Linked DNA regions of Sus scrofa. The main gene of each other region encodes a partner of the protein of the gene in region 2 in a complex. Links are inferred from orthologs where the notes say so. Each region holds a gene or a part of one and is shown on either strand. Other genes may lie near its edges.

Evidence for each region.
Region 1: the proteins of LMNA (region 2) and ZMPSTE24 are in contact, whole or in part, in a crystal structure (PDB 2YPT), measured with the Homo sapiens proteins. The link is inferred for Sus scrofa from reciprocal best matches to the Homo sapiens genes LMNA and ZMPSTE24. Residues at the interface, in NP_001393912.1 of Homo sapiens: Cys661, Ser662, Ile663, Met664; in NP_005848.2 of Homo sapiens: Ser264, Asn265, Ala266, Tyr267, Phe268, Val332, His335, His339, Glu415, Leu438, Asn439, Asn442, His459, Arg465.
Region 3: the proteins of LMNA (region 2) and BANF1 are in contact, whole or in part, in a crystal structure (PDB 6GHD), measured with the Homo sapiens proteins. The link is inferred for Sus scrofa from reciprocal best matches to the Homo sapiens genes LMNA and BANF1. Residues at the interface, in NP_001393912.1 of Homo sapiens: Ser431, Gln432, His433, Ala434, Arg435, Met540, Lys542; in NP_001137457.1 of Homo sapiens: Val11, Ala12, Glu13, Pro14, Glu83, Asp86, Ala87, Phe88.

Annotation. Positions count from the first base shown.
Region 1 is NC_010448.4:96,011,278-96,014,879, forward strand, and holds part of ZMPSTE24 (CAAX prenyl protease 1 homolog), read left to right. Parts: intron 1-167; coding exon 168-314; intron 315-3,602. UniProt on the Homo sapiens protein: Transmembrane metalloprotease whose catalytic activity is critical for processing lamin A/LMNA on the inner nuclear membrane and clearing clogged translocons on the endoplasmic reticulum.
Region 2 is NC_010446.5:93,923,386-93,927,775, reverse strand, and holds the start of LMNA (prelamin-A/C), read left to right. Parts: upstream 1-1,491; 5' UTR 1,492-1,594; intron 1,595-4,390.
Region 3 is NC_010444.4:6,332,857-6,336,736, reverse strand, and holds BANF1 (barrier-to-autointegration factor), read left to right. Parts: upstream 1-1,410; 5' UTR 1,411-1,705; exon of another isoform or gene 1,706-1,855; intron 1,856-1,877; exon of another isoform or gene 1,878-2,289; intron 2,290-2,400; 5' UTR 2,401-2,416; coding exon 2,417-2,539; intron 2,540-2,759; coding exon 2,760-2,906; 3' UTR 2,907-3,286; downstream 3,287-3,880. Other genes in the region: probable RNA-binding protein EIF1AD, read right to left, coding at 91-177. UniProt on the Homo sapiens protein: Non-specific DNA-binding protein that plays key roles in mitotic nuclear reassembly, chromatin organization, DNA damage response, gene expression and intrinsic immunity against foreign DNA.

The DNA.
Region 1 (3,602 bases), on a different chromosome or scaffold from region 2:
ACATACTTGATCAAATGCAATATTCGTGTATGTATAAAGCAAATTATGTTATTTGATTGGTGTTGGTGTTACGATCACCATTCAATGTCTGCTCGTAAATGACTATTGTAATAAATAATGAGTTCATTTGACTGTTTCCTTAAGGTGTTTTCTTCAAAATGTTTCAGAGACGGATATATAAAACAACAACTCATGTACCACTGGAGTTAGGACAGATCATGGATTCAGAAACATTTGAGAAATCTCGACTGTATCAGCTGGATAAAAGTACTTTCAGCTTCTGGTCAGGACTCTATTCAGAGATTGAAGGCACTGTGAGTAATTTACTCATCGGAGAGACAGTCTGTCAAATTATTTAATACTTTATAGTGTTTATTTTCATTTCTTTATTTTTGTATACAAAAGAGGGTGCCACACCTACAAATCCAAGAATGCTTTCTTACCCTTTGTTATTGATAGTAATGCATGTGGAGCAAAAGAGGCAGAAACAATAACTCTCAGTTGAAAATTGTGGAATATGGTAACTGTCACTCTGAGGCCAGGTATGAAAAAGAATCTTAAGTTGTAAGCTATTTTTATCTTAATCCTAACTTGCCTTCCTGTCTCTCTCTCTCTCTCTCTTTTTTTTAATGACCATACCTGAGACATTTGGAAGTTCTCCGGACAAGGACTGAATCTGAGCCATAACTGTGATCTATGCCACTGCTGCAGCAATGCCAGATCCTTTAACCTACTACTCCAGGCTGGGGATCGAATCTGTGCCTCTGCAGCCACCCCCAAGCTACTGTAGTCAGATATATATATATATTATTTTTTTTTTTTTTAGCAAATGTATTTTTTTCTTATAATGATTTTTATTTTTCCATTATAGCTGGTTTACAGTGTTCTGTCAATTTTCTAGTGCACAAAAAGGTGACCCAGTTCACACATACATGTGTACATTCTTTTTTCTCACATTATCATGCTCCATCACAAGTGACCAATGTAGTTCCCAGTGCTATACAGCAGGATCCAATTGCTTATTCATTCCAAAGGCAATGGTTTGCATCTATTAACCCCAAATTCCCAGTCCCTCCTACTCTCCCCCCCACTCCCCCCAACCCCTGGCAACCAAGTCTATTCTGCAAGTCCATAATTTTCTTTTCTGTGGAAAGTTACATTTGTACCATATATTAGATTTCAGATATAAGTGATATCATATGGTATTTGTCTTTCTTTTTTTTTTTTTTTTGTCTTTTTGTCTTTTTGCTATTTCTTGGACCGCTTCCGAGGCATATGGAGGTTCCCAGGCCAGGGGTTGAATCAGAGCTGTAGCCGCTGGCCTACGCCAGAGCCACAGCAACGCAGGATCTGAGCCGCGTCTGCAACCTACACTACAGCTCACGGCAACGCCGGATTGTTAACCCACTGAGCAAGGGCAGGGACCGAACCGCACCTCATGGTTCCTAGTCGGATTCGTTAACCACTGCGCCACGACAGGAACTCTGGTATTTGTCTTTCTGACTTCACTTAGTATGAGAGTCTCTAGTTCCATCCATGTTGCTGCAAATGGCATTATTTTGTTCTTTTTTATGGCTGAGTAGTATTCCATTGTTTATATATACCACATCTTCTTAATCCAGTCATCTCTCAATGGACACTTAGGTTGTTGCCTTGCAGTCAGGTTCTTAACCCATTGTACCACAGTGGGAACTCTCCTGCCTCTGTCTTAACTCTGCAACCTGTCATCCACATTGCAGCCAAAGGAACCCTGAAGCACAGCACTGATCATGTTATTCTCCTATGTATGACCTTTCACTGGCTTGATTTCTCCCTCAGGGTAAAGTCCAAATTTCTTGGCATGATTTATGAGATTCTTTTGATTTGGCCATTGCTTATTTGAGCTCATCTTTTTTTTTTTTTTTTTTTTGCAGCCACACCTGTGTCATATGGAAGTTCCTGGGCCAGGGGTGAATCAGAGTGACGGCTGAAGCCTATGCTGCAGCCACAGCAACACTGGATCTGAGCCCCATCTGTGACCTATGCTACAGCTTGGAGCAACACCAGATCCTTAATCCATTTAGTGAGGTCAGGGATCAAACCTGCATCCTCAGGGAGACTACATCAGGTTCTTAACCCACTGAGCCACAATGGGAATTCTAGCCTCATGTTTTTATTCCTTCCCCAAAATTCTTTGCATTTTTTTTTTTTTTTTGGCCATGCCTGTGACATGTGGAAGTTCCTGAACCAGGACTGAACACATGCCATGGCAGCAACCTGAGCCACAGCAGTGATGCATCAGGTCCTTAACCCACTGAGCCACAAAGGACCTCCTTTTCCATTTCTTTATTGTCCATCTCATACCCAGCTTGGTTTCTTATGACCTTGAGTCCTTTTATATGCTGTTATCTCTGTCTGGGGCACCCCTCCTCTCCCCCTTCATCTCCACTCTCTCCCTGGGGCCTGATTAATCCCCACTCTTCCATTAGGATTCAGCTGAGGCACCTCTTCTAAGAAACCATTTGAAACTTCCCCATCCCTCAAGTCTGGATAAGGTTCCGTTCCATTATTATTCCTACCAGAGTACTTATCACATTGTATTGAATTTGCCTGTTTCGCTGACAGACTGGTAGTTTTAAGAGGTAGGGTACTTTAAGGTCTTGTTCATTATTTTCTGCTTAGTACCTGGCATATAATAAGCATATAATTCACAGTTATTGAATGAAATAATGAGTGATAGATAATTTTTTTCTTAGTAAAACAGGGCTGGTCTTCCCCCGTGCTGAAAGAGGAGAGGCTATGAAGTACAGAGCCGTGTTTCTCAGTCTTCTTTTCATGATCTCCCCTGACCCATCACCCTGGCACCTCTGTAACCATTTTTTTCCCTGATTGCCCCTCCATGAAATTTTAATACCATAGATATACTGTAGGCTGTATGTCTGTTCCGGTACTGTATGTACACACACACACACACACACACACACACGTATATTTATTAAATGTAAAATGAGGAAGATTTTTTTCATACACACCCCCAAAAAACAATTCTTGGTTTTACACCCCTAAGAACAATTGAAAGTGCATAGTGTTGAGGTTAAGAGCTGACTCTGAACTCAGGTGGCTTGAGTTTGAATCTCAGGTCTACCATACCAGTTCATGAAAGCCTCTACACCATTGTTTTGTTCTTGGTATATGTCACATATCCACTGGTAGACATTCCAAAGTTCTTTGGGCAATGTGGGTTCAACTGCACCTTTGAGGCCCTCACGGCCTCTTTCTCCTGCAAAGCAGTGTGTTTCAAAATAAGAAACCAACTCTTGAGGCAGATCATCTGTCAGCTCAAAAAAGCCATCAATAACATTGCTAACTGGAGGAAATGCTAACAAATTTCAACCAGTTGAAACCAAATTGTGAAACCAAAAACTGTCAACCAGTTATTTTACCTTTCACGGCAAAATTGCCTTAACAGCCATTTAGTTATGTAGCAAAAATGTTTGCAGCAACATATTTAAAGCAAAGAAGCTTATGGTGAAAATACTGGACATGTGAAAATAATTGAGATTGGCTATCATAATTGTTTCATCAGTTAAAGAGAAGAAACTGGCCGTTTGCAGCTTTCTTAA
Region 2 (4,390 bases):
AGGGAATCATGGCCAAGAGGAAACAGATGCCCTCTTGGCCCCTCCCTGGGCAGCCTGAGAGCACACCAGCCTCAGGCCACTCGTGCATCCTGTCCCTCCCAGCCAGGTCCCTGCTGCCCTACCGCTGCTCCAGTGGCTCCCCCATTACCTGCCACTCAGGGGTCAAGGGCCAAAGTGAAGTGGGCTCTCAGGGAGCCCTGTAAGCTTTGGATTTACTAGACAAAGAGGGCAATTGGGGTGTTACTCTGGGGCTAGCCTGTGGGCTGGCATAGGGATAGTGGGACAGGGGAATCTGGGGAGCTGGATCAAGGCAGGTCTAGAAAGGAGGGGGTTGGCTTGCATGATGTCCTTAGACTCCTCCCAGCTCTGAAGTTCTGGCTTCTAAGCAATGACTGATGAAGCACTGGCCCAAGGCAGTCCCTTCCATCCCATGGAGTCTCCCTCCAGGAGCTCCTGACCTTGGCCAAGGCCCTGCCCATCCACCTGCCACACGTGGCCGCCACTAATCCAGAAGTGCCCTTTGATCTGTTCCCCCATCAGGAAATCTCCTGCAGATTAACCACCATCCTCCCCGGGGAGAATTTGCTTTCCCAGTTGACCTCCCTGGGGTGAGTGCCAAGGGCTAGCCTTGGAAGGGGACCCTGAGGAACTTAGGGGCTGCAGGGGCTGGGAACCCAGGTTGGTTTTATGGTGAGGCTAAGCAAGGTGAAGCTCAGGGATCCACAGTGGCACAGGCCTTCCCAAGACCCTTAGAGGAGCCTGACCAGGTTTCCACGTGTTCACTTATCTGTGTGAAATCTGTAAAAGATATTCTCATATTTTTAAGATAGAGCCTCCCCACAAAAATTGGATGGACACTTAGGAAGACCAACTGTCCGGTTTTGCCAGGAACTGTTCGGGTTTGAGCACTGCAAGGCCCTTGTCCTAGGAAACTCCTCAGTGCTCTGCAAACAGGACAGGTGGCCACTAGTTTCAGGCCCCACATTGGGTAACGTTTGCTCAGCACCTGGACTGGGGGTGGGGGGGGAAACAGGGATCCTTTTCTGCCTCACTTCCTGGAAGCCTCTCGGCGCCTAGGGCTTGGGGACCCTTTTCGCCGGCCCCAGTTCTGGAGTTGTGGCGCTTCTGTTTGTTTCCTTGGCAACAGGGAGAGGAAACCCCCATTTAGGAGACCCGGGAGGCCCCGGCAACCACACACACACAGACACACACAGACTCACAGGCAGCCGCCCACACGCAGGCGCCTGCGTCAGAACCAGCCGTCAGCACTGCCCGCCTCCGGGCGGCGGGGGCGGGGGGGCGGGAGAGGAACCACCCCGCCGGAGTCCGGAGTCGCCCTACCAGCCCGAACCGATCTGCCCTGGAGGGAACAAGCCCCGTCCCCTTGGCTCCGCCCACGTCTCCGGGGCCCCGCCCCTTCCTACGTCTACCTCCCCTCCCCCACCCTCACCAGGTGGGGCGGGGCCAAAGCTGGGAGATAGGGAGCAGAGAGGACGAAGTCACTGCGGAATTCCTCTTTGGCTCTTGTCTGGTGTGTACCGTGGCAGTATTTTGGTGTGTATTGTGACGGTTCCAGGAAGCCTGAGGCTCACAGGTGGGGCGGCTCTCTGGGCCCATTTGAGTGGGGGATGGGGTTTGGAATGTCGGGCAGGGACTCCTGGGCAGACTCTCGGATTTTGCTGTTGGATGGAGCTCCTTTGGGGTCTGGACTGAAGGGAGGTGGGATGTAGTTAACCTGGAGGCAAATCCCTGGAGTTTGGGACCTGCTTCTGTCTCTTGTTGTGTGGCCTGGAGCATATCAGTTAACCTGGCCCAAGTCTCAATCTCCGTATCTGTATAATGGGCATCATGGTGTTTGCTTTGTGCATCTCAGAGAGGTTTGAGAGGGTTAAGGTAGTAATCTGGATTGTGAAAAGATGACACCTGGGAGACCTGCCCAGCCAAATGTGAAGTGTAAAGGGTTGGTTCTGTGCTCATTATCTAGCGGCCCTGTCTGGCCTGGCTGGAGCACCCAGGGAAGATAGCCAGCCCTACACTGACCCCTGCAACCCCTGCCTCATCATGGTAGCGATAATGCCCATCCCTTGAGGTCGATTAGCCCCTTCCAGTATGTCCAGAGTGATGTCCTGTCTCCTACAGTAGTGTGAAATAGGGTCCGAGTACTATTTGGGGGTTTCTGGCTGTGTTTGGGCAAATCTTAGCTTCTCCAGCCTGAGAAGCCCACTTTGTAAAGAGAGGGGTTTAATTCTCAGAGCCCTGGGGGCCTCTTAGGGGAGGGGCAAAGGATCACCAGGCAGGGGTCCCTAAACTTCCCTGCTAGAGAGACTCTGCCTCTGTCATTTAGTATATTGGGCTTTTGGGGTGAAATTTCATTCAAATGAGGGGTTCACTGGCTTTACAAAAGGCCATCAAACACGCTCCTTCTGAGGGCCTTCCCAGCTAAACTAAGCCAAGCTAATTGTTCTAAGCCTGCATCATTCCATCTAGCTGGGTCCGGATGGGAAGAAGGCAGTTACTCAGCTGGACTATCTTAGGTCAATTAGTCAACTTCTCGGAGTTTGGGTTTTTGGTATATAAAATGCAGATAATAATACCTTCCTCATAAGGCTGAAGTCAAGATGAAGTGGGATCAGCCCCACATGGCCCCTAGCCCAGTGCCTGGTATGTGGCAGCTACTTAAAGAACAGCCAGGTCCTTCCATACCACCTGTGCAGGAGTGACTCAGCAGTTCAACAGGTGTTTAGTACTTGACCCTGTGATCAAAGAATGAATAAGACAGGGACCCTCCCTCCAAGCACTCTAGGGAGTTCCTGTTGTGGCTCAGGGGAAACAAACCTGACTAGTATCCATAGGGATGCAAGTTTGATCCCTGGCTTCGCTCAGTGGGTTAAGGTAATCCATCGCTGCTGTGAGCTGTGGTGCAGGTTGCAGACGTGGCTCAGATCTGGCATGGCTGTGGCTGTGGTGTAGGCCAGCAGCTACAGCTCCAATAGGACCCCTAGCCTGGGAACCTCCATATGCTGTGGCTGTTGCCCTAAAAAGACAAAAAAAAAAAAAAAAAAAACCAACCCAGAAACATTATAAAGGGATTCCCAAACCATAGCCTTGACTCTCCAAATCACCCCCTATTTCCTAGACCCTCTCCCAAAGAGTCACCCCTTCCCACCCCTGTGGGGGCGTATAACTGTCTCCCAATGGCCTAGGTCCCACTGGAATCCTCCTCTCTCCCACTCCTACCTGTCCAGAATTACAGCCTGACAGCTAAGTGCTTGGCTTTCAGAGCAGGCCCACCTGTATCACAATCCCAGTTCTGCTACTAATCATATGACCTTATACAAGTGTTTCTCAACTGGATGTGATTTTGCCCCACAGGAGACATTTGGCACCTTCTGAAGACATTTTTGATTGTCATAACTGGGGGCAGAGGGCTAGGGATACAGCAAAACATCCCATATGCTTAGACCCACCCCTCACAGCAAAGAATTATCTGGCCTAAAATGTCAAGAGTGCCAGCTTTGAGAAACCCTGCCTTAGATGAATAATTTAACCTCCTTAGACTTCAGTGTCCCCATCTGTAAAATAGGACTAATAGTAGTGTTTACCTTATAGATCTATTGCATAGGTTCAACAAAGTCACGCAAATACCTAGTGTCTAATAATAGTAGTTACTCCACACATCCTCCCTACACAAATCATTATTAGAATGCCTCTGGAATCCCTCCTGGCTGCACCCTTCTGCTGAGCCCGCTCCGTTTAGCTTGCCTCTTGCCAAGGCCTGTGCCTCTGACTCCTTCCTCGCTGGTCTCAATGCCTCCCTCCTCTCCTTATTGAGCAGCCAGAATCCTTTCCCTCAGACCCCCGTCCCCAAACCAGGCAGGAGGCTGCCTCCATCTCCCCCTTCTCCCATCCTGCCTCTCCTCCTGCCTCACCTCCAGTGTCTCCCTGCTCAGCTCAGCTGTGCACCCTCAGCTCTTTCCCGCCTCACAACCTCTGCACAGACTTCCTCCCCCAGCACCAGTCCACCCCCGCTCCTCCCACGTGTCCTGACAAAGTGGCATAAGATAGTGAAGAAGTCCTGGAGCAGGCAGCCTGGTCCGAGTTCTGAGCTTGGCCTCTCGCTTACTGTCTGGTTTTGGGAATGTCAGCCTCAGCTGTAAAACAGGGACATGTTCTCCAGTCTATGAGGTGGTTTGGGAACCAAGATGAGAATGTATGTGAAAACTTGCAGCTGTAAAGAGCATCAAGGTATAAGTCACCCAGTTTATTGAGCATTGTCCCTTTTTTTTTTTTTTGTCTTTTTTTGCCTTTCCTAGGGCTGCTCCCTATGGTGGGTCCCAGGCTAGGGGTCGAATTGGAGCTGTAGCCACCAGCCTACGCCAGGGCCACAGCA
Region 3 (3,880 bases), on a different chromosome or scaffold from region 2:
CAGAAGAGACCAAGTACCAGTCAGCATTATCAGCCAGCTGCAACCCTTGCTGAGCTACAGTCACCCTGTCCCCACCCCAGTGCCACTCACCCTGACGATCTGCTGCCGGTCGGAGGGCACCATGTGCTCCCCCAGCACCTCCTTCACCACGTGCTTCCTCTTGGTGGCCTGAGACATGTTGTTGGGTCCTGTCCCAGGGTGGGGGTGAGGGATGCAGAGACTGTCAGCTCCTCTCCCTGAGTTTCTTGGATGGCAGTCTCAGAAGGACTATTCTAAAGATGGGGAGGGACCTTTTACTGGGGAGGACACAGTGTCAGGTTAAGGAGAACTACTTGCATTCAAATCCCACCTTGGGTATTTCATGACTGTTCAATTTCTCTAGACTTCAGAGAAAAACAATAGCTAACTTAGAGCACTGCTCTAAGAATGAGCATAAGCAAAGCACTTAGCACTGTAAAGCACGTAAAAACAACTCGTGTGACAAGAGTTCTCCTGTGGCATAGCAGGTTAAGGATCTGGCATTCTCACTGCAGGGGCTCAGGTTGCTGCTGTGGCACAGAATCAATCTCTGAGCCGGGAACTTCCATGTGCTGCAGGCACGGCCAAAACAAATAAACAAATTTAAAAATACAACGGTAAAAACTAAACACGGGTTTCAGGAAAACAAGTCATTCTGGCAACCAGGGGGAGAAAGAATCACATAAACTCTTCTTCGGTATGCCTGTACATCCCAAGCGTAGCACAGCCACACAAACAGATGCTCAATCTCTCAACATACCACAGACATGGACCAGGGAGAAGAATTCAAGTTAGGAACAAGTTAACTAAGGTCAGGGCCGGCCGACATGGTCTTTGGCATCTGCTGTTTATGATTTGGGTACTGAGAAGACGAGGACTGATGCGCACACAGAAGACGGCCGGTTTCCAAAGGAAACGCCGAAGTGTCATCTCTAGTTGCCGTCCCCTGCCTGCCCTCCTCCCTTCCTACCCCGAAGGAAAGACGCTCAGTGAGAGAAACCCAAACTTACTCTCTGGCCCTCGGATCCCACGGGCGATGCCTGAAGCGGAACGACCCCGTTCTCCAGGCTGGACGCTGAACACGTCTCGTCAACGACTCGCTTTGTAGCTGAGTCAACGAGCGCACAGAAAATGGACTTGCCGGCGGTCGCGCCGGTGAAGACCCCTTGGACTCAAGTCTCTTACAAGCCGGACGGCGAGGAAGACAGCACGCGCCGGCCCGAGGAAACCCCTTACTTCCGGCGCTCTCTCGGAAGCCTCCCAGCCACACCTCCCTCCTTGTCCGCTCCTCTAATTCTTCCCACCACCAAGTAGGCCACGTTTAATCCTTAAGTTCCAAATGTCGCGCCGCCGAGAAATAAAGTTTTCTCCTCCCAGGCCTCTGCTCCCTCAGACCGGAAATATTTCCCGAGCAGTGAGACCACAGAAAGCTGCCCGGCTTCCCGCAAAGCAACCGGAAAGGAGCGCCTCCTAAACGCACGCTGGCGCGCCGCCCCCTCAACCCCGGCCCAATCTCAACTCTATGACTTCACGCGGCTAGAGGTGCCCAATGTAATTTTGGGTTTTTTTTTAAGGCGGCTCTTGAGGCGACCCGGAAGCGGAAGTGGGGCGAAAGTTCTAGCGGGTCGAGGCATCCGCAGGAGCGGCCGGGTGGCGGGAGAGGCCGTTACGGGAACCGGAGCTGCGGGTGAGTGCGAGCCGCGGTGCAGGGCCCAAGCTGGAGACTGGCGGAGGCGCGGGGAAGAGAAGGGGAAAGGCGCCTCAAGCACTGCGGCGGGCCAGAGGATGCGCCCTCGGAGAGGGATCGGCCGGGGCGCGGCGCGCGAGCGCAGAGGCGCGGGGAGGGGGCGGGGCGCGGCGCGCTGGGGGCGGGGCCGGCGGCGTGGGGCGCGGCGGGAGCCCTGGCGTGCAGCCCGCCGGGCTGGAGAAGCCGCTTCGCTTCTGCTTTGTGATTAGCTGGCGGGCCGGGTGGGACAGAGTCCTTCATTTGCTTTACGGGCCAGGTAGCCGTTGCAGGCAGGGTCAGTGCCACTTGGGCCCAGCCAAGGTCACCGAGGAGTGACAATTTCAGGGCGAGCCCTGGGTCCTGACAGACTCTTGGAATCTTGACTCTGCTCTGCGTGCGCCACCTGTTAGAGCAAGATAGTGTTGCCTCTGGGGTGGTACCGAAACCAGCTCCTGCAAGGAGTGGAAGAGATTTCTCTTTTGAATAGTGAGGAAAAGACTCCTTAGGCTTCGCTTTTTTCGTCCGTGAAGTGGGGGGAGAAGCGAGTAAGCTTCTGCGATGACTGGTCGAGCGTCCTCTTAACTGTGAGATTGGTAGTGGGCCCTCAGGAGTTCCCGGGTTTTCAGCCCTAACCTGCCTTTTCTTGGGATTCTCAGGTTAAGCTTGATCAAGATGACAACTTCCCAAAAGCACCGAGATTTCGTGGCAGAGCCCATGGGGGAAAAGCCAGTGGGAAGCCTGGCCGGGATTGGTGACGTACTGGGCAAGAAGCTGGAGGAAAGGGGCTTTGACAAGGTGTGGGGTGGCTGCGTGCAGCTGGGGAGGGCTGAGGATGGCCTGCTGGGCTCTTTCCTGGCAGTTGGGGCGGGAGGAGAGTGAGTGGACCCGTTGGGGGTGGGCAGTGGCATGTATTCTGCAGGGCTAGCCAGAGCCGGCCCTGCTTCCTAGGCTGAGGGCCTCGTTCCTGGTCCGCAGAGCACCTAGCAGCATGCCCTTCCCTCTGCCTGTCTTGCAGGCCTATGTGGTCCTTGGCCAGTTTCTGGTGCTCAAGAAAGATGAAGACCTCTTCCGGGAATGGCTGAAGGACACGTGTGGCGCCAATGCCAAGCAGTCGCGGGACTGCTTCGGGTGCCTCCGGGAGTGGTGTGATGCCTTCTTGTGATGCCCTCCGGGGAGCCCCCGACCCCAAGCCCCAGCATTGAGTCTCCAGAGTTTGCAGCCAAGCCAGGACTCCTCCCCCATCCTCTACAAAGGAAAAGATTGCTGTTGTGTGCACTTCCAACGTACTCCAGCATCTTTTGGGAGTTCTCTCCCCTCACCATGTCACCTTTTTTGGAATTCTCACACTTGCATGCATCTCCCTTCTCCTTTCCTTGCCAGTTTCATGTCAGCAATTACCAGCTTTTCTGAGTGAATTCCTGGTCCTGGCCCTTACCCCTACCCTCACTTCTGATCTGTTTTATGCCATGTTTGGCCCTCTTTTTGGCAGAACAGTTCCTGTCCTTGTAAAGTTTTCTAAATCAATAAAGTCAGTGGCCTTCATGCCTGGGCTCTGTCCATGGAAAGCAGGTGGGCTGGGAGCTCCCTGTTCCCCAGGGCCCGGCCAGGTTTGCCACACTCCTTATCAGTGCACGTCGAAACCGGCAGCTTCTGGCTCCAGAGGGCAGCCATCCTGGCCACGTGGGCCTTGGGCCAGGTGCCTCGGAGTGTCTCAATCCCTTAGTGATGTGGGAGAGGGTGTGGGTTGATCCCTTCCTGGGGTCCAGGTGGGCTGGGGTGTTCCAGATGTCAGCGTGGTCAGCTGGGCTAGGCAGCACCTGGTGGAAGACAGTTGGAGTCAGCGCTGCCAGGAAAAGGGTGGACCAGATGTGGGCGAGGGTTTACCTGATAATCGTCATGTGCTCTCCTGGCCTCCGGTAGGAGTGGACAGGGTTTTTGCAATCTGCCCTGTTCTCTTAGGCTTAGGCGGGAGCAGCGGGGGTGTGGGTGGGTGAATTTTTCTCAGCTTTACAGTCTAGTGAAGAGAGAAGTGACAGGTGATAAATACAGAAATTCAGGTAATGTGAGTTAGGCTTCTATTTGGTGCATATTTGTCCTGTTCTGTGTTTTTTTGTTTCTGTCTTTTAGGGCCACACC